4 linked regions of the Arabidopsis thaliana genome follow. The protein of the gene in region 2 interacts with the protein of the main gene of each other region in a pairwise test. Each region holds a gene or a part of one and is shown on either strand. Other genes may lie near its edges.

Region 1 (7,673 bases), on a different chromosome or scaffold from region 2:
GGGTCAATGAATCATCACTAATCCTCAATGAAGAGATAGGAGAAAGGTGAGAATTGGTTTCGGGTTCTTACACATTCTAACCGATAAATATTTTCTTCATGAAGGAGGATCCTAGCGTTTTCATAATATACCGAGTCAAATACCCTCCCAGGTCTCCGGGAATTCTCATACTCATACAACTGAAGAAGCTTATTGTCCATGTCGTCAGCTACAACAGCTTGAAGCTGCAACAGATGAAACAAAGTCAGATTTGAGAAGGATTATAATGTTTGAAAAGGAAACATGATCAACCTAAAACCAATAAAGAGAGTGAATATTACCTGTTTAACCAATTTGTATATCAGTTTTTCCAAAGTGAATAAAACATATGACTGGTTTCCAATAATAGCTCGGCATTCATCCTCAAACTTGGAATTTTCAGCTGAGCCATTAAGCAGACTAAACAGAGCATTCATAAACCTGCAGAACATACAAATACGAGGGTTTATAAATTTTACTGAAGTGAATAAAGAACCTGCATAGTCTACATAAAAGCAATGGACCAATTGTATATCTACATTGGTTAAGGAATGTACCTTGCATAAGGATCTGGTGAACAAGTATCTTTAGTGTTTCTCAGTTTCATTTCACTGCCGGAGCAATATGTTTTCGCAGACAGAATTCTCTCGTACAGGATCTGGAAATAAAAGCCAATTAAAAAGAATTACTAAATATTTTCAAGGTAAAAAGTACTTTTTCAGATTTAACGTGAGAAAGCAAATCATAAGAATCAATTGCACTCACTCGATGAAGCCTGAAAAGGACATAAAAGTCGTCATTCCCATAGAATACTCTGGAATCCTTCTTTTTCTCATCAACCAAAGCCGCTGCAGCTATATGTTTTGACAGAGGCTTAACTGATAATAGAACACGTTCTGATGACGGAAACAACCCTTTGTCTTCTATAAGATGTGACTCCATTCCCTCTGCCTCTCCTTCACTTTCAGCTTTACCATCAATCTCATCATGCTCACCCTCTTCCTCAACGCCATTATCGTCCTGTGAACATTCGTCACCAATAGATTCAGTTCCCGAAGCATCCTCACCAGCTTCGGAAGCATCATCACCATCCTCATCGTCAGCGTCCTCATCATTTTCTCCTTCAGCTTCAACTGAATGTTCTGTTTTCGCAGTAGCCTTCAACTCACGATCTTCGTAAACAACAAAGTTGTCTTCGGAATCACCAACAGGTGATAATTCACCTTCCTCCTTCTCAATTTTGGATGGACCACCCGATTCATCATAATTACTGTTGGCTTTAGAAGTATCTGACTGCAGACCATTTCCTAAGACTATAATTCGGCCTATATCAACTCCCTAGAGAAAAGGTCAGGAACAGTGAGAATGGTCAGAAGAGTCCATAAAAAGCAGAACAGACAAATAAGAACATATAATTAAAATGTGAAACTGAATACAGTACCTGCGTATGTTGAATGCTATCAACTTTATCTATAGCTTCACTTGGTTTGGATAATATGCCCCGTGAACCTTGAAAATAAAAGTAAAGCACCGACATGTTAAGGTAGGTATAGCAAACACAAACTGAAGAAAAGGAAAAAATTAAAGTTCAATCCTGAAAATACCTGACGAATCTCTGCTTCCTACTTTACCATTATTGTTTTCGACCCCACTTGGGAAAGACGAACTTGAAGTGGCCACTCTTTCATCAACATCTCCAGATCTTTTAGCAGCTCCATTTCCAATTTCTTGATCTTTTTGGGGTTTTTCAGCACAGGTGGCAACATCTTTATTAGCAAGATCACCATCCTTCAAATTTTCTTTCCCTGAAGAATCCCTATTCAACAAACCAGTCTCACCATGCTTGGAGACCCCAGATGAAGCATGCACATCTCCATTGGTAGCAAATTTTAGTTGCCTAGAAACCAAACTTATCGCATCAGAACTCTCATTAGCCTCCCCACTGGTAAATGCACGCTGATGCTGGGTTTCTACAACATCTTCAACAGAATCTGACCCCTTGGCCCTGGGTGCAACATCAAGCATCAGCTCCAAAAAATTAGCCCAGAGCTTCAGAACTTTACCAGTCTGCTCTTTTGTAGAACATATCTCCTCACAAGAAAATTGGACTAGTTTGAACAGGTCTTCATGAATAGCTCTGTCGAGATAGTCATACTCGAGGTGAGGAATTATCGGTTGCCTGTAACCAGCAGAAATAGACAGAACAACATCGTCTTCTTTCTGAGACTTCTCTTTCAAGTCCTTGACTTCAGACACCAGCGCTGGTATTTAACCAAGGATTAAAAAAAAACAGAATTATGAGAACAAGAAAGTAAATGCAAGAATAGATCCATGACAGATGGTTGTAAGCAATTATAGGTGAGGACAAGTCCTCTGATGGACTGAGCACATTCCAAGAGTTTACTTACCTTTTGCACTCAAATTCTTAGAATCTTGCTGCTTAAAATAGAAGCTGCGGTGATCAAGTGATTTGTAATGGTTTTTCGCATACACATCCGCCCAGACCACATTAAAACCTTCACGGCATTTTGTCCATTCATCTTGTTTCTGCTTCAATCGAGTTAGAATTACAGGAAGTGCAGCAGCTGGATTCTTACGTATTAAGTCTGTCACGTCAAGACCATGGTCTCCATAAAGTCTCTCTATACACCTTAGATTTAGTGCTGTATTAAGTCAATAAGAAAATGGAAAGTGTTAGCTTAAAAGATGATGGCTTAAAGATATGGTAAGCGAGGTGGGACGGAGAGAACTACAATCACTAATATAGGTCCCTGGAAAATAAATGCCCACATACCTGTGAAATGGTCTTCAATCCGGAAGGAGCCCTCAAAACTTATTTTCTTATCAATGATAATATTCAACAATTCTTCTGCACTTTTGGCAGCAGATCCCACAGATTCCAACAGCATGTCCAACTCAAATCTGTAAGAAGAAGCAAGTAAACAATCTTAACATACAAATTACTTAAAGACTACAAAAGCTATCAAATGTGTAATACTTTTTGTAAACGAACCTATCATCTTCACATCTAAACAAGCTTTCTTCATATTGGTTCCTGCGCATGTGCTTAAAAGAGTAGTCTTCACTTCCTGAAGTGACAGAAACCCAGTGATCATTTAACACAGCAGCTCCTGATTTCTGTCTGTGGCGCACAGACGGGATTGGATACTGCAAATAAGATCTAATATAAGTACAATTAAAATGTCACTGTATGCAATATAGAACTCTGAAAATCTTATTACATCTGGAGGGAGAAGCCGGTAGCTAGGAGTGCAACGCTCACAATCAGATAGATCAAGCTCTTGAATAGATTTCCCCATGTACTTGTCCTTGGATCGCTCTTTTTCCTTAGCAGCCTCAACGTCACGTTTGTGTTCTCTATCTTTTTCCTCCCCCTTCACTGATCTAGATAAATTTTCTTCACTACCAAGTGATTCTGCAGCAAGTGTACCAGGCAGTGTTATTTCTATTCCTATAACGTACGAAAAAAAAGAGAAAAGTATACTCATAGACAAGAAGCTAGGAGACTGCTGCCTACTTTTGCTCATAACACCAGCAAGGTGCTGGAAACCATCTGCACAAAAAGGATGATGATCAGAAACAGCTAGATAACTTATTAAGTAAAACGACAGTATGCAATCTTATATACCAATACTCTCACAACGCTCAAAGAACTGATTGAACTCATCCATGAGATCAGGGAATTTTCCAAGCACATCGGAAACCTGGATGAAAGAAAGTAACGTAAGGACAAAATTTTACCCCTATAAGTATCAACACATGCAGACCTACCAAATTCTGCAGATCTTTCCTTTGGATAATTCCATTGCTAAACATATTGAGACACTTCAAGAATGCTTGATAATCATCTTGGCTGCATAATCTCTCCTTGACTTTCTCACAAAACAAAAATGCTTGGTTGTACATGCCTAACACAATAAAAGGACATACAAAAAATATGATATTGTAAGTATCAGAAAACAGAAAAGACTGGTTGCACTTGAACATACCTGTTGACTAGAAAATTAGAAAACTGAAATTGTGGAGCCTTAAAAACAGAAAAGTTGTTGGTTCTCCATATAAATAAAAGTCGCTTACTTTTTAGATTGTTTTTCTCAGAATGTGAAGCAGGACCAGAATAAGCTTCAAACCCCTCCATTCTTCTCGAGGACTTCCTTTTCTCTGAAAAATGTTGCAAGTTATCTTGCTCTGCTTCTCCATCTTCCAAATCACGGCTTCTCCTTTCTCTATTATCCTTATCAACACGTTTCCTCTGATCTCTGTGCATCTTAACCATTGATTTATCATCATTAAGGTCAGAACGGTCAACACTGTGATCACGATCACCCCGAGAAGCAACAGTTCTTTCTCGTCGGCGATCCTGATGATGAAAAATGTATCAGCACAGAAAAGAGAGTCCTGAAAACAATATAGTAGAACCAGGAAGAAACGTAACCGATACCATACCTTCTCCATAAACATTCGACGCACAAGAGGAGGGCCTGATCCCCGGTCATCATACCGTTGGGCTTGACTACGAAGTAACTGGGCTTCTGTATGAGGCGCCAACGAGTCTGGTAAAAACCTAGTGAACTCTTCAAGCAAATCCGAGTGGTCCTCAAAAAGAGTAGACACCTAAATAAACAGATATTAGAGGTATAAAATATCGAGAATTATCGACGTGAAAGTATACGAGAGATATAATCACTTCAATGTGACATTACCTCATTGTAAACCTCAGTGATGTCCTTATTATCCTTCCGATACATATTTAAGATTTCCAGAAACGACTTATAGACAAGTTCATTGTGCTGGAACCGTGTCTGCAGTGATGCAAAAGAAACTGATACAATGAGATACTAGGTGTAGAGGACACTTCAAAGATAAGGACATACATACGAGAAGAGAACTTCTTGACCTTAATTTTATTAACAAAGCTTATGGCTTCTTCAAATTCAACAGTTTTCTTTGAAGGAGCTTCTACATCATCAAGCGTTATTTCAAACCCCTTAGGCAAAAAGGTGTTAAACCCGAAAATCAAATTGTTATGCCCCTTAAACAGCTCCTTCACTCGTGAAATCACACCAGATGTATCAGTCCTGTAAATGCAAGATGAAGAATTGTTCCCAGAGGCTTCAAAAATTCAATCGATCTGATAGGAAAGAAATTAAAGATCTTACTTTTGTGCCTTAAAGTCTTTCATAACCTCAAGGAACATATCATATTTGTCTCGCTGATCTTGAAACATCTCCTTTACTTCCTTTAAGTAGGTCAAAGCATCATCGGTAGTCAATTTCTGAGTGTTGATTCCCCCTTCACCAATGCTCCCTCCTCCAGTGATTGGAGATTGCTCATATCTGCACCAAACAAACTCTAATCACTTAGTAACTTTCATGCAAACAAGCTATAATGTCTCATCGCCAGCAATTTTAAATTTTCGAAGTCTGACGAAAAGGGAAACTCACGATTCGCCACGAGAAGAGCCCAAAGGACGTTTAAATTGAGACCCGGTTGCGTAAATATCATCCCTAATTCGCTTCATTGCTGCTCTGAGTAAAACAAACAAGAAAGATCATCGATTAGAGAAGAGAAATGAAGAAATTTGAAGGTAAACCCAAAATCCCAATTTAGAAATTCCATTACTGAGCATCTAAAAAAGGAAAATTCAGATGAAGTTGATAAAACCTACTTTCTCGTTCTCCAGATTTCCCAGAGATATAACTCCGGGAAGAGATTAATCAGATCTCTCGAGTAAGAGCGGAATCGATAAGAAACACTTCCGATCAAATTCCGGCGAAAACTTCAAATTTCCCGAATTGTGCCAAACCCCAAGAACAATTCCGATGAGAACAGAGTGGAATTCAGAAGAAGATTAAAAAACAAATGAGAGAGAAATGTTTTGAATTGGAGTTGCTACGACTGAGAAGCAAGAGAGAGAAAGTAATTTTCGAATAATGAAGAAGAAGAAGAAACGAGGACGGAATTTGCCTATGAGGTCTCTCCCGGCACCTTCTTTAGAATTGTTTCAGCGAGACCAAATTATTATTATTTCCTTTTTTCTATTTTTGGGCCGTTAAAATTTATAATGGGCTTAATAAAAGGCCCTGATTATTAGGCCCATTAAATAAATTCGTAAGGTAATTAGGGTTTTGCTTCATCATATTCGCCGAGGAAGATATATAAAGAGGAAACAGATAACATTACTCAGAGATATCGATCTAAGCTTGCTACATCTTCTTATATACTTCTGCAGTTTTTAGTGTTTTTGAAATTCGGATTTTTTGTTTGGATCAGTTGATGAGCAAATACTGCAACAATATGATGGAGAAATCTTTATGATTCTTAGTATTTAAGTCTCTGATGATCTTATTTGTTTTTATATTTCCTCTCTTCTCCTTTTAGATCTTGCACATAGTCGTCCCTTTTTCTGAACAGAGATGTGATGAGTAACAAATTGGTCCGTGTTTCTGATTAACCGTGACTGAGAATTTATTAACCAAACTCTGATCTCAATAAGTTTTATTATTTGAATCTTCAAATCTTGGTTTTGTATTAGAAAAACAATGAGAACTCTTTGGTTTTTGGCTCTGTGATTGCTTCGCCTTATTGGCAATATACGCTATTCTGAAATCAGAGTATGAAAGATAAACAAACTGTACTTTATGAGAGCCCAATCGAATAGTTATTTTGAAACTTCTGCTGTGATGATCTTTTGAATAAAATTCACATGTCAGACTTCAGAGATCTTTTGATCTATGAGAAAAAACATTCATAATTCTGAGCAGAAGTAACAACACAACCTGTTTCTCCAATACTAAAAATAACCAATTGTAACTTGTAGTAGAGCTAAGAAGATATTAAAAAAAAGGTCGAACAGAGAGCTAATTTGATATATCCGTCTCATTCAAATGCTAGCTTCTTGATCCTTAATCCTCATCCTCATCGTCAAGAGTAATTTCAAACCCATGTGGCAAGAATTTGTTAAATACGAGAATTAAATGGTTATGTCCCTTTAACAGGTCTTTGACTCGTGCAATCACGACAGAAGTATCGGTCCTGATAAAATGCAAGATGAAGAATGGGTTCAGAGGCTAAATATGATACTTAAAGAAACAAAACAAAAAGATGTTATACCTTTGTGCCTTGAAGTCGCTCATAATCTCGAGAAACAGATGGTATTTGTACTTTTGATCATGAAACACGTCCTTTATTTCCTTTAAGTAGGCCAAAGCATCATCGGTTGTCAAAGCATCTTTGGTGTTACCGTTTCCAGGTTTTGGAGATTGCCCTTGTCTGCGTCAAAAACAACCCCACGATCATCAACACAATACTTCAAGATTACGATACTAACCAAAGTCTTTTGCTAAAACGCAACTAGATTAAAAGATTTGAAATAGCATAAATGCGAAACCCTCTGTGTGCTCATCGCTAAGATTGAAAATGGAACTTACAATTCGTTTCGAGGGGAGCCCACTGGATGTTGATTTTGAGACCCAGAACCGTCGATTTCTTTATCTCCAATCCGCTTCATCCCTGATTGAAGAATTATGGGGGAAAAAGTTATTGCAAGCAGAAGAGAAACAAAGAATCACGATGAAGTTTAGAGAGACTCACTTTCGGAGAAGATCTGAAACAAATCACTCAGATCTTTCAAG
Region 2 (5,353 bases):
CGACTTGTCCGCCCACGAATTACTCGAAGATATTTAAACAAGCTTGTCCGAGTGCGTATAGCTATGCATACGATGATGCTTCCAGTACTTTTACTTGTACTAATGCTAATTATGAGATCAGTTTCTGTTCTTAGGCAAAAATCGCCTTTATTATTCATTAATTATTATTATTTATCAATGAATAAAAAGATTGATCATTTTTAACATATTTTTATGTTTTATTTGTCTCTTTAATCTCCTTCACAAATACAAAAAGGTGACGTTTCTAAAACAAAAGATGAGATACGGCATGCATAGCCATTATTATCAACAAGGAGGAGATAATCAAAGATTATGTTTCAAAAAGAAGATGAAACTTTATATATTTGATTGTTTAAGAAAAAAGATTATTACATAAAAATATCAAAGTTTATTTGAGTAAAATGGTTTTTTTGGTAGGAGTTTCTTTTTTTTTTTTGGGTAGGACAATTTGTATTTGACTTGAGGTTAAAGGAAATGAAAGAAAAAAGTGAGAGAAGTGATACCAAACATATTTACATTCTAACAACATACCGGTCACTCCAGATCGTATCAGACAAGATAGTTTCCAATAGGGAGCTTTAGAGAGTTATTTGGTTTTTTTGATGGTACTTACATTGGCTAAACAACAGAAGCAAAGAAGAAACAACATCTACCCTTTAGCCAAACATCACTAGAAGAACTAAACTTAGCAAGCCACAAATGGTTAAACAAGTTGATGTACCGTACATACAGGATTTGTTAAGAGTCAGGGCTTTTCTTTAGCTGATGCAGTTAAGATCAGTGTTTCTGGATTCTTTGGATTGAAACTTGCAAGCCTTCTTCATTCTCTTTGCAGCTTGGACAAACCCCACAATAACCTGAAGCTCATCCATTTGCTGTATTCATTTCACAGTTATTTACACCATTTTATTGATTATCAGGACAAAATTAAGACAAATCCATAACACAGTGAAGGCTCAGAGATGTTGACGTACCTGAGACATGAAGTGCCTTTGAACAATGTCAATTAGTTGCTCCTTTGATGGATTTGGAATTGCATCCACCTACAAAGAGTTTCTTCAGAAGCAAGCACATAGAAAACAAGATTGAGAAAACGAAAGTAAGTTTCTTCTCTTCCTTTTCTTCTGGAATTCAACTTACAAGGTTAAAATGTCGCCAATAATTCAGTAAAGCAGGCATTTCCAATTTGCTAAGATCAACCTTCTGCTTGAAAGCATATGATATAGCATCAGTAAACTTACGATTTGTTGCATTATCTTCAAATGGAATAGATGTCAAAAAATTTGAATGCATACCATGTTTTCAGGAGGAGTAAAACCCGAACTTTTTGATTGCGAGTCAGATGATAGAGACCTGCTCATCGTCTTGTGAGATGACCGAGATGATCTCTGCCCTCTTAGCTTCGACTTATGAGGCTTCAGTGTGTCCTCAGATGCTGGAAAAGAAACAACTTATCATAGAAACAAGTCTGAAAAAAATCAGTTAAAAGGGTTCCCATCAAAGAACAATATATCACTTAGTAGCTCACAGGAGACTAAATCAAGTTTAGAGATCTCTATATCAAGTTTTTGACAAATTGGCAGAATCGTTACAAAAATAACAAGGAACAAAACTTACTCATATCAGAGCCATTCCTCTGTGTGTTTTCGAAATCAAGATCATCGTCTTCTTCGTTTCCAGTAGGAGGTTCAAGGACACTAAGCGCATTCCTCTGCAACTTTACTTCTATTCCATTTGTCAAAACCTACAAACCAAAAAGCACAACAATAATTCTGATTAAATACTTTTAACTCCATAAACAAGTACTGACATTGATTTTAATACTTCAACTCCTACTGTTACTTCCATAGGAATTCTGGGAGACAAGAACTGGTGGAATGTGATATCACTAATAGTAAAACATAATCGTGATACTGAAGAAATTCGTAAATTATATGGATTATTCTCTAAAGTTTAAAGCTAGAATATGGTGAAGTTACTCCTTTAGGTCCACATACACAGAGACACTATCAAAAAGATCTTGCAGAGCAGTTTATAATATAAACTAGCCAACCAAAGCATAAAGATTTTATAAAGAATAGTAATCGACAGAAGTGACACTGCTTGGGGACGAAAATGACTCAACTAATTAAGAAAGAACAAAAAAGAAGAAAAACCTCTAAAACAAATGATTAACATTAATCAAAAGACTAACAAATTTCAAAAAGCCAGCTTGGATCCTTAAGGTGGAGAACAAAAATGTCAAGAAATATGATGGAGAATTAGATAACAAGTGCATATTTGTTATGATGTTTTATTGACCAGGCGCCAAAATAAAGTTGCCTCTTTTTTGGTTTGCCTAATTAATGTTTGCAAACTCAAAAATCACTTATCCCCTATAGATGATTCCTTAAATTGAGCCTGAAACTCAGCATGAAACACCAAAATAATCAAAGATACCAAAATGTTTCAGAATCTTTATTTGATGCAAACTAATTTTTAAAGAAAAATAAAAATCACTCAAGGGTTTCATGAATAAAATAACTACCTAAGAACCATAAATACAAGGTTAAACAGTGTAAAATCCAGCAATAATGGTGACTTGAATGCTATCATGCATGCAACAAGTTCAATCGCCAGATTTCGAAAATTTTACAGATTTAACATTTGGTAAATACAAAAGTAGATTTGATTTTCGATCAAACTAACAATTCTTGGTTTAAAATTAGATGCGAGGAAACATAATTATTGACTTGATTAGTGAATCTATAACTAGTAAATCGAAGCTCATGAATGATTATATCTAATTTAAAGTTGATCATGTTGAGAAATTCAAGGGAAAAAAACCCAAATTTGAAATACAAAATCATCCCAAAACCCAAATTATGTTCATCAATTGCAAACTTGGTAAATCCAGAAAACAGAGAACAAAACACTAGATTAGATCGAAATTTAACTATAAATGGAAAACGGAACAGGAAACAACAAAGATAACATTTTTACCAAAAAAGGAAAGAAATCAAATAACTTTACCAGCCAATGCCAACCACCGAGACCGACAGCTTTTTTGACAACACCTTGAAGACCAACAAGCACCGATTTCGTCCGGTTGTTTCCGGTGACCACCACTTTTGTATGACGTGGCAATACCGATAACTCTTCTTCACTACTGCAATCGCCGTAAAAGCTCTGAATCTGCGGGAATCCTCCATTCACCACTCCTGAGCTATCTACAGCTTCCAGCATTCTTCTTCTTCTTCTCTAATCTAATCTGATTTTAGACCTGAAGAAATCAACAGACCCAGTTCGATTTTTTTCAGCTTTGAACACTGATAGAAAATCGAAGATCATGCATTGCTGAGAGAGGGAAAGATCAGATGATTGAGCGGGAAAAGTGGAGAGATATCGAAGTAAAATAATTAGGGTTTGTCCCACAAGAAGAAGCAGAGAGAGAAGAAGAGAGATGAGAGAAGAAGAAGCAGAGTAAAGAGAAGGTAGAGGAGGAGGGAAAGAGAGGATGATAGAGACAGGTTTTTCACCACGGGGACCAATTAGAAGAAGCCATGTCAGCATTGTACTGAAACTATATGCGTTATGCAAAAACAGAACCGGTTTTTTTGTTTGGATTTAACCGGAGGGGTACTTTTGGTAATTACAGAACACGCGATTGACCTGAATGGTTGACTGGTGTTTAATAAAGACAGAGATAGATGGGACCCGTTTTTATTTAAATGACGGTTATACCCTTAGTCACGTAACTTTTTTCCATAGTTTGAATTTTTTTGGATCTTCTTTGTCCTTATCTTATAATTTTCTTTCTTTCATAATTATTGCTCTCTCCATTACTAGATTTTTATTATTATTGAGAACAATGTTTTACTTTATGAAAACCAGGTTCTCAAAACAGCAAAATAAACGAAACAAGTACTGCTTAGTAAGTGAAATAAATGGATCAAATACAGTAAGATAAACATTGAACATAAACTTTAAACTCATATAATGGCTAAAAAGCAATCAAATTGGTCGATGGGATAATTGGGTATATTAGATACAGAAAATCTAAGGGATTTAATGTTGTGTCTCTTTAATGATAACACTATTAAACACACATCGATATTATCATCAAAAGAGCTCAAGAGACGCAAATACAAAAACCTTTTTTCGACCGATTATAAGAAGGTTTTATAAAGGTTTTATAAAGGTAGATGATCGATATGATCTATGAATATTTTATCTTTCTTTTTTTGTGTTACATACAATCATACATGATTTTCTTACTATATGAAAGTTACATGTTTGGATCAATTATTTGTCCAAAACTTTTATCGAGTCATTGTCATTGTCACAGTTAACAAAGCCCACCCAAAAATAAAACCGTCCCCATATTTGGGGAAACTGTCAAAGCGACCCCTCACCAAACGCCTGCTTCAATTATTCGTAACTTTTAATGCTTACCCTTACTACCATTCCCCTCCCATAAAAATCAAAATTTTCATTCTTTTGTTCTTTATTGTTTTTAAACATAAACCTACGAAATCTAGAGGCTGGAACAAAATCCATTAATTACCGGGAAATTTTCAGAGGATTTGCACTAAATTAGGGGTTACTTGTTACATTTCAAAATTAGGTGACTAATTGTGGTCAATTATGAAAATTCGAGGGGTTAATGAGAATAATCCTACACGTCTGTCTCTATCGTCGTCTTTGAGGGTTTTGTTTGAACAAAGAGACTAGAGAGTGTTGGAGCCGTTAAATGGCGAAAACTGATAAGCTAGCTCAATTCCTTGATTCTGGTATCTACGAATCCGACGAATTCAATTGGTTCTTCTTAGACACAGTTCGTATCACCAACCGTTCATATACCCGATTTAAGGTTTCACCTTCTGCTTACTACTCTCGTTTCTTCAATTCGAAGCAACTCAATCAACACTCTAGCGAGTCTAATCCGAAAAAGCGAAAACGGAAGCAGAAAAACTCTAGCTTTCACCTTCCTAGTGTAGGAGAGCAAGCTTCGAATCTTCGTCATCAGGAAGCGAGGCTGTTCTTATCGAAAGCCCATGAATCTTTTCTAAAGGAAATTGAGTTGTTGAGTTTAACGAAAGGTCTAAGTGATGATAATGATGATGATGATTCTAGTTTGTTGAACAAGTGTTGTGACGATGAAGTCTCTTTTATTGAGCTTGGAGGAGTGTGGCAAGCTCCTTTCTATGAGATAACACTGAGTTTTAATCTACATTGCGACAATGAAGGTTTTTTGGTTTCTCTATGTCACTTGCTAGATCGTATTTGAAACCCATGAATTTGATGGTGTTTTGTGGACTTGATAGGTGAGAGTTGTAATGAACAGAGAGTG
Region 3 (5,598 bases), on a different chromosome or scaffold from region 2:
TTATGGATTCTGCCTCGCCGCCTGAGTTTGACTGCGAGTTTTGGTCTAAACCGGCATCCAATATCAGGAGGAAGGCCCTCAGACGTTCAAAGGCAATGCCTGCGTTACTCAAGGTCGAACTGCTTCCTACATGCCACATTCTAAATGATGTGTCTGGCAGAAGCCCAACTCTATTGAATGTCGAAATGTACCTTTTCCCAGATGAGAAGAAAACAGAAAGGTACTCAAAACCCCTTTCTATGAAGGACAAGCTTCTTATTCTTGTTGTATCTCTGTTATCAGAAAACTTATCATCTCAGGGCATGTACACTCATTCTTTTAGGTTTACAGGGGAACATGCTACTCTGTTCAAGGCAATGGTAACTCGCAAAGTCATGGCCAAAGCTAATATAAACGGCACTGAATTGTTAATATTCTCCTCAAAACTATTGGACAAGACCTCCCAATGTATGTATGCATTCTGAATTTCTGCAGAGCTTTTAGTTTGTGCATAGATTTTCGATGGATAACATCCGTTTTGTGTTCAGCAGTTCTCATCAATACGCAGAAGAAAACAGAAAACTTCCTTTGGGGTTTTTTTCTCCAGACCAAGAACTCACTAGGACTTGTTCCAGAAACTGCTTCTCAAATTGATAATGATTTTGATGATGGGGGTGTTGTTGACATGGACTTAGACAATGAATGCCTGACCCCGCGTGTGGCTCTGAAGCTTATTACAGAATCACAAAAAACTCCCTCAAGATCACCGGAGAAGGTGAAGGGAGAAGCAAGTGTACCTCCTGGTTTCGAGAAGATATGGACACCACCCTTGGTGAAACTTAATATACAAGGAACATCAAACCCTCTGTCTGATCTAACCAGATCGGCTGGAATAGTGCGTGACCAATCAGGGAAGTGGGTGTTTGGGTACATCAGGTGCCATAAGAGCATCCCTGAAGTCGTAGCTGGGCTTTTGGCTATATACCAAGGCCTCAAATATCTCTGGGACAGCGGTTTCCGAAGAATCCACTTGGAGACAACAAGCTTTGAGATCATCAATGCTCTAACAACAAAATCGTCCCTGTTTTGTAAAAGTAAAACGCTTCTAGGAGCGTGCAAGGACATGATATTGAAGGAGTGGGAGTGTGACATTTACCATATCTCCAAAGAACAGAACTCATGTGCAGAATGGTTAGCAAAGAGATCAGAAGAACAGCCTCAAGAATTAGTTTTCTTTGAATACCCTCCTCGAGGCCTTATGGATTTTCTGGAGAAAGACCGCCTTGCAGCTATGTAGAGCTTCTTCAGGTTTGAGGTACAGTCCCAGTGAGCAGCTTAGAGGTACATATCTCGATTAAGTAGTCTGACCTTTTGAAAATACTAGTAGAAGAAGAGATGTTTGGAGTGTTAATGTGACATCCTTGCGTAGTCGTAAGTACAGTGGAGTCTCATTGTAGCCACAGTTCAAGAACACAGACGTTTTTGTGAAGTGAAGAATCGAAATAACTGTAGATTTTCCCTCCAGATTCAGTGTTGCTCCTCTTCATCTTTCGTTTAGGCACAGTCTTAACAATTCACAAAAAAAAAAAAAAAAAAAATTACTATTAAACGATAAATTCGCCGTTTGCAGAAAATTCGGTTCACCAATTTTAAATTGGTTTATGAGGTTCAACCGGTCATTGGTTCTAAATGAGTTTGAGGTGTCCGCCTTTGATTGGTTGAGATGCTAGGTTTTTCATTTTCCCTCCAAAGAAGCTCTTTAATGGTCCAACAAATATATATTTAATCGTAAATAAGATAAAGAAAAATATATTTTGAAAAGAAAAATGCTTTTGAAGTTTGAAGCTTCTTCAGAGTTGAGACTAGTTGACCCTTCAGTTTCTCTCACTGTTCTTCGAAAGATAAGACTGTCACATCTCCCGGATATGACAATGACCAGCGAATCTTCCGGCAAGAAATGCGGAGAGGGTGACGGCAAAGTCGCCGGTAAAAGCCAGCGAAAGGTGGGTCTTGTTTATGACGAGACCATGTGCAAACACGACACACCTAACGGTAAGGTTGACGTAGAGTGTCCCGATCGTATCAGAGTTATCTGGGAGAAGCTTCAGCTCGCCGGAGTCACTCAAAGGTTCATACTTTCCTCTTCTCGTGCGCCTTTGTTGTCTTTTTTGGGCGATAAAGCCCTAGAAAAGGCTGAAATTTTAGGCTAATTGGGTGTTTTGATGATTATCTCCTCTGAGAAAACAGGTCTCGTTTTGTTTTTCCTTATTTGACTTGACGTTTGACTTTCTCAATCTGAATTGTGTAATTCATAGATTGGAAAGATTCTGCTGATTTTATCCTATATAGGTGTTTCCTAGCTTGGTTAACTGTTTCTTTATCCTATATAGGTGTTTCCTAGCTTGGTTAACTGTTTCGTTATCCTATATAGGTGTTTCATAAATTGTTAACAATGTTGGTCTTTCCTTTTTTGCAGATGTGTGGTTCTTGGTGGTAGTAAAGCTGAAGATAAGCATCTCAAATTGGTTCACACAAAGAAACATGTTAATTTAGTGAAGAGTATTAGCACAAAAAAGAAAGATTCTCGGAGAAACAAGATTGCTTCACAGTTGGATTCGATTTATCTGAATGGAGGTTCATCTGAAGCTGCATATCTTGCAGCTGGATCTGTTGTAAAGGTAATATTAGATTCATACAAATTGTCTCTCTCACACAGGAGGATAGCAAACTGTTAGAATGATTTGTTTGACGATTAGTAACAAAACAAATTAGCAACTTGGTAGGTGGCAGAGAAAGTTGCAGAAGGAGAGTTAGATTGTGGCTTTGCTATTGTCAGGCCCCCAGGACACCATGCCGAGTCAGATGAAGCCATGGGTTTTTGTTTATTCAACAATGTTGCCGTTGCTGCTAGTTTTTTACTAAACGAAAGAGTAATGACTTCTTTTGACTTTTGTGATGCTTTTAGTATCTCTTACTTGCTCTCAAATTTCTTTGGTCACATTCCTTTGGTGCGTACGTTTGTTCTCATGTTATGCGGCATTAATCGAATGCAGCCTGATCTAGATGTCAAGAAAATTCTGATTGTCGATTGGGATATCCATCACGGAAATGGTACACAGAAGATGTTCTGGAAAGATTCTCGCGTACTAATATTCTCTGTTCATAGGTATGTATTTGCAACCTCTGTCTATTCTTCTTTCCAAACTACTTTTTCACATGATCTTTGTTGAGGTTTAAAGTGACTGGAAATGCATTTGTGACTAGGCATGATCACGGAAGTTTCTATCCATTTGGCGATGATGGAGACTTTAACATGGTTGGCGAAGGTCCAGGTGAAGGGTTTAACATTAACGTTCCATGGGAGCAAGGAGGATGTGGAGATGCAGACTATCTTGCCGTATGGAACCACATCTTGATCCCTGTGACCAAGGAATTCAAACCAGATATTATTTTGCTTTCAGCTGGATTTGATGCAGGTTTGTATGGTCTAACCATTTGTTTCAAGGCTTTGTGACGGTAAGCTGTGTGTAATCTTTTCAACTTCTTCTTAACAGCTATTGGTGATCCGCTTGGGGGTTGTTGTGTTACCCCATATGGATATTCAGTTATGTTGAAGAAGGTTGGTGTTGAAGTGAACTGCCTCTTTTCTCCATTGTTTCTATTATGCGTACCATGGCTTCTCTACCATTGAAAATAACAAAGCTACATAATTTTACTTGGATATGACATCATTTAATTGGTTTCTCTCAGCTGATGGAGTTTGCACATGGAAAGATAGTGCTGGCATTAGAGGGAGGATACAATCTTGAGTCATTGGGAAAGTCTTCACTCGCATGTGTCCAAGTTTTGCTTGAAGACAAACAAATTCATGGTTCATCTGAAACATACCCATTAGAATCTACACGGCGTGTCATACAAGCGGTATGGCTCTATATAACCCTAACAGTCTGAAATTTTGTATGAATTGGCTACGATTTCTCTTTTCAGCTCAGTTCTTGTGTCATAAATATTGTATATCGCCTATGTTACTAATTGACAAAGCTCATCTGTTTCTTGTGGGTTTAGGTACGCGAGAGACTATGCACATATTGGCCTTCACTTGACGCGTCAATGGCGTCTAATGAGAATTTAAAGAACCCAAGTGCAGAAAGAAACTCCGCTGACGCCCTCCTTCGTGAAGTGGAAGAGTTAAAGTCTCTAATGGCTGCCCGAGATGGAGAACTGGAGGCAAGGAGAAAAGAGTTAAAGGCCAAAAATAAGGAGCTAGAAGCGAACGAGAAGGAGCTAGAAGCGGGACTAATGTTGATTCGCGCTCGGGAGGATGTAATCTGTGGTCTTCATGCAAAAATAGAGAGTTTGCAGCAGGAGCGAGATGAGGCGGTAGCGAAAGCTGAACGCATAGATAAGGAACTCCAAGAGGATAGGGCAAGAAGCCAGGAGTTCAAAGAAGACACAGAGTTTTGCTTGAGTACGTTAAGGAGGGAGAAGGAGCTTGCCATCATGGCCAAAAATAAGGACCTAGAAGCGAAAGAGAAGGAGCTAGAAGCGCGGCTAATGTTGGTTCACGCTCGGGAGGATAAAATTCATGCCAAAATAGAGAGGTTGCAGCAGGAGCGAGATGAGGCCGTAGCAAAAGCTGAACGCATAGATAAGGAACTCCAAGAGGATAGGTCAAGAAGCCGAGTTGGGAATGGATCTTTTGCCTTTTCTCAGGAGTTCTATGAAGACATGGACTTAGACGAGCTCGAACCTCTGTCTCCGGAGTTCAATGAAGACATGGACTCGGAAGAGCTTGAACCGTTTCAGGTCATCAAGAAAAACATGGAGCGTTCCCACAAGAAGTTCATAAAAGATATGGAGTGTATCAAGTTTATCGCCAGTGAGAGAGCCAGGGTACTTTAGGTTGGGAGCTTGAGGCCGTAGCAGAAGACTACCACAAGTTTCGCGAGATGGTTGATAAGCTCGGGAAGAGCAACATATACCCTTCTTAGAAAGTACAATGGTGTTTCATTGTAACCACAGAACCTTTTTGTGATTGTAAACCAACTGTGTCGTGTCAGACTTTGATTGGTTGCGATACTTGGTTTCCCAATTTCCCTCCAAAGAATCTCCAAATTGGTCAAACTCTCAAACCTAAAAAAAAAAAAGGAGAGAATGAAAAAAAGAAAGAATTGAAAAGTAAAAAATACTTGGAAGCTTTAGAAGCTGAGAGCAAAGACTTGACCTTTTTCACTTCCTTCTCACTGATCGTCGAACAATAAGGCCGTCGCATCTCCCAGTTATGGCTATGGCCGGAGAATCTTCCGGCAAAAAAATTGGAGACTGTGACGGTAAAGTCGCGGGGAACAGACAGCGAAAGGTGGGTCTTATTTACGACGAGACGATGTGCAAACACGACACACCTGACGGCGAGGATCACCCTGAGTGTCCCGACCGCATCAGAGTTATCTGGGAGAAGCTTCAGCTCGCCGGAGTTTCTCAAAGGTTCATACTTTCTCTCTTCTTCGTGCGGCTTTGTTGTTTGTTTGATAATATAAGCCCTAGAAAATGCTCAAATTTAGTCAAATTGGGTACTTTCTGATCCTGTCAGCTGAGAAACTGGTCTCAATTTGTTCTTCC
Region 4 (5,603 bases), on a different chromosome or scaffold from region 2:
AACCTACCTCTCTCGCAGCCCCCAATAAATACCTCTGCACCAGGAAAACAATTATTTTCAGTCTCCCCATTGCTTATCATTTTCTCTGTTTCTTTATTCATTTATGTTTTCGTTTTACATTCTTTCTAATGAGTTTTTATTTTCTCTGTTTCTTTATTCATTTGTGTTTTCGTTGTATATTCTTTCTAATGTTTTTTTATTTAACATCGAGTCTTAAGTTGCTCGATTTATATATATACATATACATCCATCTGATTGCAAATGATGAGTTAAATCACCATTGATAAAAGAAGCTCAATTGAGCAGTGTTGGCAATCAAAAACTTCCATGACTCTGATGCAAATTTTGATCAAGAAAAATCAAATCCTTGATCTTTTTTTTCTGTTCTTTCTCAGATTTTGTTAATTATCACTGAATTTTGCTTTTCAAATGTATTTCTGTTTAGTCTTAATAATTCTCTGTGTATTTCTCACTAGCGTTTTTAAATCTATTTTTTCTATTAATCTTTAGTGTTTTTTACTAACAAGGCTGCCTAAAAATAAAATTGAATTTGATCAAGTGCAAATTGTACTGTACAATATATAACGAATTTGATCACTATATAAGTCACAATGATGAGAAAGTGAACCAAAAAGCTTCATTCATATACACCAAGACGAAAACATGAAGAAGATGGAATCAATCAGAAGTGGTTTTGGTGCCCCAGTAGCCGTTAAAGTGTTGATATCATTACAAATCTCATAACTAAACAAAAAAATTAACCAACAATTTCTAAGAATCGATGTTTTATGACGCATCGTTATCGTTGTCTCCATCGAAATATTCATCATCCCTCTGGATCTGCTTATCCCGTGAACGCTCTGAAACATTCCATATAGAACATTAGTCACTAAGAAAACAAAGGGACTAAAGTAGAGCCTTGAAGGTGGTTATCGATACTTACGATCCGCACGTACATCCGGGTTTTGTTCGTCTTCATCAAAATCCGGTATGTAGAAATCCGGTGGAACCTAAGAGATTCAAGTAAAAAAACTGATCAGTGTTAGATTGATAAAAGCATCAATTTGTCCTATGATGATCTGAGTTTACCTCCTGCATTTGTACGCTTGGAGCGTGTTGAATGTATCGCAAATTCTCCAAAATCTGCACTTTGATGGAACTGATGTACGATTTGGTATTAAGATTCTCCTGTTTTCATTTCAAACACACAAAATGATTCTCAATCTCTCTTTAGATTTTGTTAAAGCAATGAGGAACTATAAGTTACATAAGAGCTCCTTACAATGTGACCACCCGGTATCTTCAAAGAAAAATCCGGCGCAAAATACTTTATGTAGTCGTTTTCAGGAATCTCTGCAGAAACAACTAACCCCTGAGCCCCCAAAGACCGCAAACATTAAACTTTCTCTAACAAATATTGAAAACCTAACCATTAGGAAGTTCTGTGTCCAAAAGAATGCCAGTCTCAACGGTCCAACAACGAGCTACATTCTCCTTTGTGTATCCTCCACCTCCTGTAACCTAATAAACAATCAGAAAGAACTGACTTCGTCATCAATGAACTTAAGATTACAGAAACGCGTCATACATATATATAAGTTGAGAGATTAGATACCAGTAAGGGAAGATTGAACTTCTTCACGAATTTAACACATTCAGCATGTCCTGTGAAATGCATAGAGAAAGCCATTTCAAAACCCGATTCGCAAAGAAATTAGCAAACGGGAGATTGAAAGAGAGAAAGAGATTTTGATTACAAGAAGAAAAAGCACCATCAATAGAGAGATTAAAGCATCCTAGTCGATCCCTGGCTAGTGAATCTGCCCCGCATTGAAGAACAATTGCACCCGGTTGATATATCTCAACAACCTTGGATATTATCTAGAGATCAAAGGAAATGATGAAACACAAATAAACGGTGAACGCATCGAGAATTTTTCATTGTTTTTAGTTAAAGAACTTACAGTCCTGAAAAGACGGTTGAAACTACTGTCATCGATACCATCCTTCAGCGGCACATTAATGGCGTAAAATTTCCCTTCTCTTTCTCCTATTTCCTTTTTAAAGAAAAAACATCACAATGACAATTCAACCAAACACATTGAAACCGTCCTCACAAATCAGGAAAATGAATTCTGAATATTACCTTAACATCGCCTGTCCCTGGAAAGAACTTATCCCCAAACTTATGAAAGCTAACAGTCATTACTCTACCACCACAAAATTTAAAGATATTGGCAATCAGTTTCTATAGTAACAGCTTTCGAGAAGTAGTGTTATGGATTTGTAACTGTACCTGTCAGTGAAGTAAAACGCTTCTTCAACCCCATCACCATGATGAACATCTATATCTATGTATAGAACACGGGGATGGTGTTTTAACAACTCAAGAATTCCTAGCACGAGATCGTTGATGTAGCAAAACCCAGATGCATCACATTTTTTGGCATGGTGCAACCCGCCCGCCCAATTTATAGCAATGTCACAGAGTTTGTTGTTTAACCTGCGTGCAGCATCTATAGACAAAATTCTCGGTCAGTCGTTTCTCTAAAGTGACAAGCAAACATGAATACCAACTGTGTATATTTACCTATGGTTCCGCCGGCGTAAAGTTGACAAAATTCAAACAAATCTTCAAAGACAGGACAATCCTCTCCCAGATTATCTGCAACACAGTAACTTAATTTCAGCTTAACATGTAGATTACAAAAACAAATTAATGAAGACACAAAACTTACATCTAGCCATTTCATTGGGGAACAAGTTCTGGTTTTCTGGATTAATTCGTTGCAGGAACTCTACATAGTCAGGAGAATGGAACTGAGCCATCTCGATAGGATATGCTTTGTGTGGACGCTGAAACAATAGAGAACATATACAGATTTCAATCGAGATGTACCGTGATATCATAAACAAAAAGAATAAAAGGATCAAGAACAAAAACAAGAAACATATATGATGAGCAAGAGACACTAACATAAACTTCCATCTTGCTATGCAGGCCATATGCAAGGATAAGATGATGGGTCATACAAAGCCTGTGAGGTTTCATCGGGTGATTCGGACCAAAATAGACACTCCCCACATCCCCTGCAACCCAAAAAAAAACATTCAGCATAACATCACAATCTCATATAAACTGCCTCAAAGGCTCCAATCATCAACAAGAATATAATCTGAAACTCGCATCAGAGTTTGAATCATGCAGAAAATCTGAAGTACGAAAATGAAAGTTATATAACTATCAAGTCTATAAAAGTTTCTCAGAGAGGAATCTCGAAAGAACACAATTTCAAACATTATATGCAATGCCAAATTTAACAAAAGTTCTAGGGTTTCATATTTTAGCAAAGAAATAACAAAGACTTGACCAAACCAATCAAAGAAGTCAACTTCACAGGTACTAGAGTCGTCTTCACCACAAGAAGGCTTCTATCTTAAGCTTAAACTCAGGCCAAAGAATCGAAAAAATCAGAAACTTCACCTAAAACCCTTGTTCTTTTCATCAAAAACCCTACTCAATTCTGGAGTATTTCCAAACTAATCGTAACCCTTTACTTATTCTAGACTATAGATATGAAAGATTTCACCTTTCGATGCATCGATTGAGCAATAAAGACAAAAACTAGTGCGGTTCAAGTGGATAAAACTTGCTCAAGAGTTACATCAATCTCAAGGATTTTGGAGTTTCTTTACCATAAATAAAGAAGAAAAGGGAAAGAAATGAATATACCATCATAAAAGTAAGAGATTTTGTCCTTGGAACGCATCTCTTAAAGAAGAAAAGACACGAAGATCGTACGAAATCAATCTTAAAGAAAGATTATACAGAGATATTTCAGGTCTGCTTAGATTCAGTAGAGAGATGAGACGATTTCTTCATTGATGAAGTCGCAGAGATTTCACGATTCTCCGGCGGAGCCGAGAAGAGAGCAGCAACGAAGCGAAAAGAAGAAGAGAGAAGAGAAGAACAAGGGGAGAGTCAAAAGTGAAACGATGTCGTTTTAGTGTTCTGATGACATGACAGATGACGTCATTTAAAGTGTATTTGATAAAAAGCGGTTTTGACTCATGGTTTTATAATACCAGACCGGTAGCTTTCCATCATTTGAACCGAATCGAAATTGAATTTGATACTGTGTATATAAATCAATCGATTTAGTTATATCTTCTTCTTTCTCTTGTCTGGTTTAGTATACATCTTCAATTTCAAAACATGTAAACTGAATCAAATTCGACCAAGGAATGATCACAATCAAAATGAGAAAGAAAACCAATTTCGAGATTATAATAGTAAGAAGTTGTTAGATTATATAAACTTGTTGAGTTATTTACTTGTTGATCTCCGATGTCAATGTCACTACCAGAGACCAAAAAAGACCAACGTCTCGTAACCACTGTCTACTTGATTGATAGGTCGATACAAACCACCGACCAAACAATCTAAAAGACAGACAAAAATCTCAACATTTTAAAGTCAAGTTCAACGCCAAAAGAAAGCATATCTACTAACCAAGATAATATCCTCCATTGCCAAAAAACTTCAATCCTTGAATCTGTTTCTAACCTTTTTCAGACCAAAAAAGAGCCGAGATTACAACTTTAGGATCCTTCGTTTTCACACCCATCCTTTGAAAACCTAGGAGCTTTTCTCTCTCAATCTTGTTTGGAGGAATCAACAATGTTGAGAGAAATGATGACCTCAGGAGAGGTACCTCTTATGGGACTTACCTTTTAGGTTTGGGTTTCTAACCTGATGCAGTCTATGTTTCACATGAACACGTGAATCTTCTTCAACACGCCCACCTAACCGCTCCTTTGCAGATAATCGACGGCGTCGAGTTGATGTGTGATCAACATTACCAGAATTCCTTTCATCAGCTGAGTATCGGAATTGTTCTCTGCTTATTCCTCCATCCACTGCATAGTTCCCTAGCTTGTCTCTGTAATCATATGCTACTTCATGTTCACGGAACCTTTTACTATCTGCCTTCTCATAAGACATTCTTGATTGCTTAGCATCCCTGTAGTTGTAATCATAAGGCATATTCTCATGCATAACCTCACTTGCGTTGTCTCTAAGACCATAATCATCTCTTGTACGCAAAATTGAATCATTCGAATGATAAACCTCTTGTCTACCATCTTGATATCTCATATTGGCATAAACTTTAACATCACCACCATTACGTCGTTGCAAACGCTCATCATCCAAGTAGACTTGATCTCGGTCATCAAAAAGATATCTCCTGCCTCGAAGAGCTTCCTCATCTTGCTTGCCAGCTGATGATCTACTGACATCAGGATGCATCACCCCATACGAATCAATTTCATGATCTCTTAGGAGTTGCTGGCTTTCATAGGGCAAATAGGCTTCCCTTCCGTCATTCGAGGACATTCCTTTACGCTCTAGAGCTCTAGCACCTCCTCGGTCCACAATCTCTGCTTTGGTGACAGCAGGATACATCCTCTCATCAATGCCAGAGTCGTAGTACTTCAGTTGTTGTTTATTGTAATGCTGATAAACATCCTTGCTTTCATTATCCAAATACGCTTCATTTCTATCAATGAAGGCTACTCTCCTAAGCTCTAGCGCCTTGGCA

Evidence for each region.
Region 1: the proteins of AT1G19330 (region 2) and SNL2 interact in a two-hybrid assay, tested with the Arabidopsis thaliana proteins (one study listed by BioGRID).
Region 3: the proteins of AT1G19330 (region 2) and HDA18 interact in a two-hybrid assay, tested with the Arabidopsis thaliana proteins (one study listed by BioGRID).
Region 4: the proteins of AT1G19330 (region 2) and HDA9 interact in a two-hybrid assay, tested with the Arabidopsis thaliana proteins (one study listed by BioGRID).

The regions. Positions count from the first base shown.
Region 1 is NC_003076.8:4,860,010-4,867,682, forward strand, and holds the start of SNL2 (SIN3-like 2), read right to left. Parts: upstream 6,023-7,673; 5' UTR 5,708-6,022; intron 5,568-5,707; exon of another isoform or gene 5,563-5,567; 5' UTR 5,561-5,562; coding exon 5,484-5,560; intron 5,376-5,483; coding exon 5,199-5,375; intron 5,118-5,198; coding exon 4,937-5,117; intron 4,842-4,936; coding exon 4,743-4,841; intron 4,654-4,742; coding exon 4,486-4,653; intron 4,400-4,485; coding exon 4,117-4,399; intron 3,948-4,116; coding exon 3,811-3,947; intron 3,744-3,810; coding exon 3,668-3,743; intron 3,593-3,667; coding exon 3,557-3,592; intron 3,455-3,556; coding exon 3,261-3,454; intron 3,187-3,260; coding exon 3,032-3,186; intron 2,941-3,031; coding exon 2,813-2,940; intron 2,682-2,812; coding exon 2,427-2,681; intron 2,280-2,426; coding exon 1,623-2,279; intron 1,528-1,622; coding exon 1,460-1,527; intron 1,357-1,459; coding exon 748-1,356; intron 677-747; coding exon 576-676; intron 460-575; coding exon 321-459; and 3 more. Other genes in the region: AT5G15025 (paired amphipathic helix Sin3-like protein), read right to left, coding at 6,945-7,074, 7,153-7,311, 7,470-7,549. UniProt on the Arabidopsis thaliana protein: Acts as a transcriptional repressor. Plays roles in regulating gene expression and genome stability.
Region 2 is NC_003070.9:6,680,045-6,685,397, forward strand, and holds AT1G19330 (histone deacetylase complex subunit), read right to left. Parts: upstream 3,490-5,353; 5' UTR 3,247-3,489; coding exon 3,034-3,246; intron 1,766-3,033; coding exon 1,639-1,765; intron 1,472-1,638; coding exon 1,317-1,471; intron 1,228-1,316; coding exon 1,162-1,227; intron 1,065-1,161; coding exon 996-1,064; intron 897-995; coding exon 780-896; 3' UTR 519-779; downstream 1-518. Other genes in the region: AT1G19320 (Pathogenesis-related thaumatin superfamily protein), read left to right, coding at 1-134; AT1G19340 (Methyltransferase MT-A70 family protein), read left to right, coding at 4,754-5,249, 5,328-5,353.
Region 3 is NC_003076.8:24,570,580-24,576,177, reverse strand, and holds HDA18 (histone deacetylase of the RPD3/HDA1 superfamily 18), read left to right. Parts: upstream 1-1,790; 5' UTR 1,791-1,805; coding exon 1,806-2,107; intron 2,108-2,455; coding exon 2,456-2,657; intron 2,658-2,762; coding exon 2,763-2,909; intron 2,910-3,032; coding exon 3,033-3,145; intron 3,146-3,243; coding exon 3,244-3,455; intron 3,456-3,533; coding exon 3,534-3,598; intron 3,599-3,729; coding exon 3,730-3,900; intron 3,901-4,044; coding exon 4,045-4,881; 3' UTR 4,882-5,083; downstream 5,084-5,598. Other genes in the region: AT5G61090 (Polynucleotidyl transferase, ribonuclease H-like superfamily protein), read left to right, coding at 1-220, 323-447, 531-1,276; HDA05 (histone deacetylase 5), read left to right, coding at 5,261-5,463. UniProt on the Arabidopsis thaliana protein: Responsible for the deacetylation of lysine residues on the N-terminal part of the core histones (H2A, H2B, H3 and H4).
Region 4 is NC_003074.8:16,225,983-16,231,585, forward strand, and holds HDA9 (histone deacetylase 9), read right to left. Parts: upstream 4,028-5,603; 5' UTR 3,771-4,027; coding exon 3,734-3,770; intron 3,091-3,733; coding exon 2,978-3,090; intron 2,857-2,977; coding exon 2,739-2,856; intron 2,666-2,738; coding exon 2,591-2,665; intron 2,517-2,590; coding exon 2,297-2,516; intron 2,211-2,296; coding exon 2,147-2,210; intron 2,058-2,146; coding exon 1,965-2,057; intron 1,882-1,964; coding exon 1,773-1,881; intron 1,666-1,772; coding exon 1,616-1,665; intron 1,522-1,615; coding exon 1,431-1,521; intron 1,354-1,430; coding exon 1,283-1,353; intron 1,189-1,282; coding exon 1,090-1,188; intron 1,011-1,089; coding exon 944-1,010; intron 861-943; coding exon 787-860; 3' UTR 537-786; downstream 1-536. Other genes in the region: AT3G44690 (uncharacterized protein), read right to left, coding at 4,703-5,603. UniProt on the Arabidopsis thaliana protein: Responsible for the deacetylation of lysine residues on the N-terminal part of the core histones (H2A, H2B, H3 and H4).